Linked DNA regions of Macaca fascicularis. The protein of the gene in region 1 interacts with the protein of each later gene in a pairwise test. Links are inferred from orthologs where the notes say so. Each region holds a gene or a part of one and is shown in the gene's direction. Other genes may lie near its edges.

Region 1 (3,748 bases):
AGCTACTCAGGAGGCTGAGGCAGGAGAATCGCTTGAACCTGGGAGGCAGAGGTTGCAGTGGGCCGAGATGACGCCACTGCCCTACAGCCTGGGTGACAGAGTGAGACTCTGTCTCAAAAAAAAAAAAAAAAAAAAGAAAAAACAAAACAAAAAAACCTTAATGTCCTTGGGTAAACTATGACGTTTGTGTTAGCTTTTCAGATGTCCCAATATTTGCGTTGTTTTATAAGGATAACAAAATTCATGATGAGGTTAAGCAATTACTGAAGCTAGTGCTAGACAGTTTTTTAATTTAATTTTTTAGAAACAGGGGTCTTGCAGAATTTGTTTTATTTAATTTTTTAGAAACAGGAGTCTCGCTATGTTGCTCATGTTGGTCTCCAACTTCTGGGCTCAAGTGATCCTCACAAGCAGCTAGGGCTACAGGCACAGGACACTATGCCAGGCTTAGTGCCAGAATATTCTGCCTATTTTACTTTAAAATATTCTAAGTATGCTTACTTTGGAAGGCATGAACATCAGCAATGTGCCATCCTCCAGAAGAGGATTTCTACACAAAGACTCTCAAGAAACGGGAATTACTGCAAGGGCATACCCTTGAGCAACCATCACACTGCACTGAGCTCTTGAAAATATTCTGGAATATCCTGGAAGCATCTCTGCACGGCAGAGAAGTGAAATGCCACAGAAGCAGCAGCTTTAGGGAGGAGAAATACGGTTTGCCTCTTACAGTGCTTTTCTACACTGAAAGCTACATTCCTCCCGAGTTTTAAATCTGTGGACCGTTGAATATCACTCCGCCTTTCCTGAAGTTACAAATACCTTCCGTCGGTGGCGGGAATAGAGTTTGGAAAATTACATGCCTAAGACTTCAGATAAGCTAAATGACATACATGCAATAGAATCCCATTAAGAATTTATGCAACCCAGTCCATTGCATCTAATTACCCAAAGCACAGAAACTCTCCAAACTGTGCACCCCCCAAAAGGAGGGAAAATGCAAGGTTCTTGCTGCAGTTCCCGGGACACACTGCGAGGTGCTTTGTTACAAGTGTATCCAATGTCCCCAGAACCAGGGACTTGTGGGGCGCGGCTCAACCCAGCGCCACTTGCTCTGCAGCTCCCAGAGGTGGTGGTTGTGCTACGAAGGCTGACCCTGCCAATGGCCGACAAGATGGTGCGCACCCCTAAGTGCTCGAGATGCAGGAACCATGGCTTCCTGGTTCCCGTCAAGGGCCACGCAGGCAAATGCCGCTGGAAGCAGTGCCTCTGCGAGAAGTGCTACCTGATCTCCGAGCGCCAGAAGATCATGGCCGCGCAGAAGGTGCTCAAGACGCAGGCCGCCGAGGAGGAGCAGGAGGCGGCCCTGTGTGCGCAGGGTCCAGAGCAGGCCTCCGGGGCCGCGGCCGCCGCGCCCGTTCCCCTCCCGGGCGGGAGCCTGCGCCCTCTGCCTCCGGGGACTCCCTCCGGAGACGCCGAGCCGGGACCCGAGGGCCGCGCGGCCGCCTGCTTCTTCGAGCGGCCCCCGCGGGGCCGGAGTCCCGGCCCGAGCGCCTTCCAACCGGTTCTGGGCGGCCGCGGCCACGTGGAGCCGAGCGAGCGAGCCGCCGTGGCGATGCCCAGCCTTGCGGGACCCCCTTTTGGGGCGGAGGCCACAGGCAGTGGCTACCCCGGCCCCCTGGACCTGCGCAGGCCGCTGCGGCCCGTGCCTGGCCCGCCGTTCACCGACTTTGGTAAGTCGTGGCCTCAGTCCCGCGGTGGACTCCCCGAGCTGGCAGTACAGGCCAGCCCGGATGGGCAGCTGGCATAGGGGTTTGGGGTGGGGAGAATGCTTTCCACGGGTAACGTACCTTCTGCTTTAAGAAACCCTTCTTGGAACGGGGATTTGGATTGGGTACCTTTTCGCAAAAAGGAAACATAAGGGAATGGGCGGTTCAGAGGGCTTTTTTTTTTTTTTTTTTTTTTTTTGAGACGGAGTCTCGCTCTGTCGCCCAGGCTGGAGTGCAGTGGCGCGATCTCGGCTCACTGCAAGCTCCGCCTCCCGGGTTCACGCCATTCTCCTGCCTCAGCCTCCTAATAGCTGGGACTACAGGCGCCCGCCACCACGCCCGGCTAGTTTTTTGTATTTTTAGTAGAGACGGGGTTTCACCATGTTAGCCAGGATGGTCTCGATCTCCTGACCTCGTGATCCACCCGCCTCGGCCTCCCAAAGTGCTGGGATTACAGGCTTGAGCCACCGCGCTTGGCTCAAAGGGCTTTTAACATTTAGCTGTAGTTTGTGCCATTCTGGCATGCAAGAACAAAATGGCGTCCAGTCGACTTAGCAGTGCTTCCTCCTCCGGGAAGAGGCCTCGAGGAGCCCAGTCCTACTGCGCTTGCGCACCTCTTCCCGCCATTTCCTTGGGCTGGAGGCTCCTCCTCCAGAATAAGAGACTTTTCCTGCCGGCAGGTTAGCGCAAGGACGACTGCGCCTGCGCACTCTTCCTTCCCTGTTCGCGGTCGGGAGGCTCCTCCCCTCAGCACGGCCCTGGACCAGTGCGCCTGTGCACCTCTTCCCTCCCTTTCCCCACGTGCGGGTGAGCCGAGCCTGCTGCTTTACTACACGTAAGAGAACAGTTGGTCTGTAAAGATGTTGCCTTTCTTTTTGCCCCTCACCTGGTACATAAATTACATTGTTCCCTGTGCCTTGGAGCTTTCGGTATTGAAGTACAGTTTCAAGTCACATGTACATTTGAAGCTTTAAAAGCCCCGGGGTTTGGTGTGGACGCGTTTTCCTGGTGTCTCCCCATGGTGGTGTCGTGGGACGGGCTGAGGCCGAGGCGGGAGCCTGGGTCACGCTGGACAAGCTCCTGCCCTCTGTGTGCCAGGGCATTGGTCCAGAGGCTTCCGCAGGCTCGTCCCGCCTTCCTGACTTTCCAGGAAAATCTAGGTCCCCAGGGAACGCCCCATCTGATGGGGTCACAGGTCTGAAACTGCAATTCTAGGAGAAGCCGCCTTTCTTTGTTCCATCTCAACAGACAAGCAGGGCTGGGCTGAACTATGAGCCAGGCATTCGTGATGAAGGACGCGGGTCACATTTCTTGCCCTCAGGGACCTTGTCCTTGTGGGAGGGACAGGGTTGATTGAAGAGTCACACAAATCGCTGTCCAGAGCTCGAGCCATGGCCGGGTTCACTGTTGACCCGGAGGAAGAGTAACTTGGCACGGAGGACTCGTAGAGGCAGAGTGTGGGCAGACGGCGTGTGGGCAGCGGGGAGCCGCAGGCCGGGGGCCCACAGCGGGCTTGATGGCCGTGCCGAGGACTCTCCAAGAGCAGCGGGGCTGGCTGGAGGATGGAGATGCAGTGAGGGCCCAGCGGAAGGAAGGGCGGGGTGGGCTTTCTGTGCTTGGACAGCAGCGCTTACGACTCCGCCGGCCTGTGCCACCCTGCGGATGCTTTTCCCAGCGGTGTCTAACACTTCCCTCCTTGCTTGCCTTCTTCAGGGCGCCCTGTGAGCATCAACCCGGACCGTGCACTGGGCCCTGAGTACCCTGGCGGCTCCAGCATGCACCCCTACTGCCCGTTCCCGCTGGGCTACCTGGACGCCCCTCCTGGCGTCCCCCTGCAGCAGGGCTTCCGGCATGTGTCCCGCAGCCAGTACCAAGGCGGAGGCTTGGTGAGTCCCACCCCTCATTTCTTGCCAGCTTCCTCCTCCTCCCAGCAGCCCCTGTTGCTTTGATGGATCCTCATTCCCAGGAAGCCAGCTGTC
Region 2 (3,748 bases), on another chromosome or scaffold:
TTCAGTCTCACATTGCTATGTCCAGAAAATCATCACACTCTTCCACTAGAGGGGTGGATATTACTTTCTCAGGTTTCAGTTCTGTTTGCCCACTCACTGTATATTCTTTTGGTCTTTCCAACGGTGATCCAAGGATTTATTTAACCCAGCGGTCAAATTGGTCATTTTAAATAATAGTACATCTTGTCCAAGTCCAAAAATAAAATGTCCTGGTATGAGAAGGCAAGCAGAGGAAATTGGATAGAGTAGGCTGAAAACATTTTACAGCACCATTACCCAGAGCCCAAATCCCTTTTTCATTTATCCCTTTTTTGTCCTGGCATGGCAGGAGTCAGAGCGCCTTCTGTTTGTGTTGATTAAAGTCTGCCTCCACCTTCCCCCGAGCCCAGTTGCCCTTCTCAGGACACAGGCTGCATTCACCATGGGTCTCTCTGCCCAAGCTCTTTGCAGATTTTATGAAAGGCGTTTTCACTTGGATTAAACAGGCACTGTGTTTGTGTGTGGTGTGTGTGAAGGAGAAAATGAATCACTTCAACTTTGGGCAAGGATTTTAGGTGTTGTGTTTGTCCCATGCAATTACATAAACACACCAGAACTCATTAAAAAAAAAAAAAAAAAAAAAAAACACAGTAGAAGAGAGGGGCAGAGATTCAAGTGCTTGCGATGATCTAAACAGTGCGGCACATTTTCCATACATTAGACCTCAGAAAGGGTTGTGTTCTGCCCTCTCACAACAGACTCCAAGTCCAAAGGAAAGTTTGAGGTTTTACATTTCTGTTTGTGGTACAGGAAAAGGCTTATGATCTGAGGGCTTGATTCAGTGAAATAACATTGCCTTTATACACATTTGCTTCTCAAGGAGGGCAGGAGTTGGAAACGACCGTTGTGAAACGTTAAAGATTTTCTGGCAGAGGGAAAGGGATTTTTTTTTCTCCCTCCCTGCCGAGGAAAAAAACAGTTGTAACGAGGAGTTACTTTGTAGTTTTAACTCATATTCAAATACTCCCAGTCGAGAAGCTGCCATCGACCCTCCCATGGACCCCTGATCCTGGTTTGGAGGAACTTTTGACAACTCTCTCTCCCTCCTTCAAACCCTGTGTGATGAGTTTGCAGAAGAGAGTCTTCCCGAGAAGGCAGAACGGTGAGTGGAGCTGCTTCTCCTATCCCAGGGGACTCAGGGGAGGTTGGAATGCAGGGGTGGACCCTTCCTGACGACCTCCCAGGGGAGTGGAAGCATGGTTTTGGCCACACTGTGTAGTATATGAGTGAGTGTGTCAGTGGTGTGTGTGCTCACATGTAAGTGTGTGGGGGCACACATGTGTGCTGCAGTAGGACACAATGCCTGTCTTTGCAGAGGCTGGCTGAATGCTTACCATGTGCTTGGCAGAGAGTTCAGGAAGGGCAATTGCAGGACCCCCCAGGGATGAGAGTGAACCCTGGCCAGGGCAGTGGCTTTCCGTGTGCCCTGGCTTCCTCTTCATGGGGCAGAGGCATCAGTGTCTAAAACGCTGTAGCTGTCAGGGTCCCCACCAGCTCCGCTCCAGTTTCAGCAGAAGCAGAGCGGAAGAGGGAGCTGCTCAGCTCCGGGAGAAGTGAACGGAGCGCAGGTCTCTGGAGAAGATCTGAGAACTGGGAGGGGCCTCCATCCAGACCCCCTACCTTCCTGCAGGTACAGCCCAATAGATGAGAGCATTTCTTATTACGATCTTCTTCCTTTGCTCTGGAAACATAAACAGGCATCAGAGCAAAACGTTTTAACCCTTCTGCCCAACTTTTAAAGTTAACACTGGCGAAACTTCAGGTCCGTTGCAACTTTGGCATAAGAGTTTTCCTTAAAAAGGAGAAGTAAGCAAGTCAAAGGCATATTCTGACTTTTCTAGCTCCAGAAAGACATGGCTGGAACCCTGGCATCCGCTTGCTTAGGCTGCATTAAGGCATCTGCTGAAGTCTGAAGAAAGGCAGTGGGGTATAGGGAATAAGAACCTGGGCCATGGGGCGTGGCCACCTGGGATGGAATCTTGGCTCTGAAGGTAACAGGCTCCTTTATCTGGGAAAAGGTTTTCAAAGGCTCACTTTCCTCCTTTGCAAAACGGTGGTCATAAATTCTTACCTCACAGGAAGGCAGAAACAATAACTAAGATAAAGTATGTGAAATGACCCAAATGGCATGTACATATTCAGAGGACATGTCAGCTCTCCTAAGCAGGCTGCTCCCCTGTTCTGAAACAGCAACCATCATAGATATACAGGCTTGAGGATGAAGAAAAGAGTACTTGAGGGCCCAAAGTAGCCCTGGCTCTTTGTGTAGCAGAAAGTGGGGTGAGCATTCAGGTGGTCTCCCTTTGGAGGCAGACGACATGGATGCATTTACTTCCACTGGGGATCTTTGAGGCTGGGACTTGACCTGGTGTTTACTAGGTGCTCAGTGTTTGGTGAAACCATTTTATTCACTCTGATTCACGGGGAGGTCTTACCACTTCCTACCCTGGCTGCACTGCCTTTGGTTGCGTTTCCCTGGTAACAGATGGTGAGACAGAGATTTGCACATACAAAGTTCATTGGTGTGTGCTCTGGGAACAACACCAGTGTGGGGTGAGGGAGGCGGAATCAGACAGATGGAGAAGTTGGGCTGTGATGCAGTTGCAACACCGGCCTCAGCAGATCCAGGGGATCCTGTGGGGTTTTGTATCCCTGCAGTGACCAGTCATTGCTTGTGGGCTGCCCCTGGAACCCAGGCATAACCTTGGGCGAGGCAGCTGTCTTTGGCTGAAGGTAGTTTCTGGAGAGGGACTCAGTTGTGAGTTGTCACAGACAACCCTATGCCAGCTGTGGGAATGAACGCCTCGGCCCAGGGTTGAGGAGCTTATCTGGGCGATGCCCCATCATCTACTCAATACATTTGATGCAGTCCCTTCTTTTCTCTGAGTTAGGCTGTTAGAAGATTGGGCATTCACATGCAGGGACACCTGTCCAGTTAAATCCTTGCATAGCAGTGTGACTTTGGATAAGCCCCTTTCCATATCTGGGACTCAGTGTCCCCGTCTATAAAGTGGATGGAAGGGTGTTGGACTAGAGATGGCCCCTAACAACACTCCAGCTCTGCTATTTCACATATGCAGATTCTGAGCATGTGGCCATGGTGGTTGGATGTGTCCTTAATAATAGTTGGGTCCTGTGGTCTCCACCGTAGGTGCCTTGACTCCTGCTGGGAAATATGAATCGAGATACCTGGGGATCCTTGGGACTTGGCCAGCTGTCAGCAAGGAGGGGCTGGGCCTGTGGGAAGCAGAGGGAGGCTCTGCGTAGGGCTGGAGGGTGGGGCATAGGGTTTGAGGAGGATTCTGCTGCACACCTTCCCCCACACTCCCACAACATTTCTCCCCCCTCAAAAAAAGTAAAACCACATGAGACACTGCCATATGTCTTTGATAGTTAAGAGCTATGTAATGTTGCCCGGGACAAACTTGGATGTAGTTTTATTACTCTCTGTCTCCTCCTAATTTCCTATTTACTTTTCAATATACAAAGAGTGAAATCACTTTCCCAAACACTTGGAATTCATTTTCATTGCTTTTTTTCTTTTCTTTTCTCTTTCTTTTTTTGAGACAGGATCTCATCTGTCGCCCAGGCTAGAGTGCAGTGGCGTGATCATGGCTTACTATGGCCTCAACCTCCTGGGTTCAAGGAGTTCTCCCACCTCAGCCTCCTTAGTAGCTGAGACTACAGGAGTGTGCCACTATGCCTGGCT

The links.
Region 2: the proteins of DMRTB1 (region 1) and IL16 interact in a two-hybrid assay, tested with the Homo sapiens proteins (2 studies listed by BioGRID). The two-hybrid records come from large-scale screens. The link is inferred for Macaca fascicularis from reciprocal best matches to the Homo sapiens genes DMRTB1 and IL16.

What each region holds. Positions count from the first base shown.
Region 1 is NC_088375.1:181,219,566-181,223,313, reverse strand, and holds the start of DMRTB1 (doublesex- and mab-3-related transcription factor B1), read left to right. Parts: upstream 1-1,139; 5' UTR 1,140-1,162; coding exon 1,163-1,733; intron 1,734-3,482; coding exon 3,483-3,655; intron 3,656-3,748.
Region 2 is NC_088381.1:58,649,129-58,652,876, forward strand, and holds the start of IL16 (pro-interleukin-16), read left to right. Parts: upstream 1-978; 5' UTR 979-1,101; coding exon 1,102-1,141; intron 1,142-3,748. UniProt on the Homo sapiens protein: Interleukin-16 stimulates a migratory response in CD4+ lymphocytes, monocytes, and eosinophils. Primes CD4+ T-cells for IL-2 and IL-15 responsiveness. Also induces T-lymphocyte expression of interleukin 2 receptor. Ligand for CD4.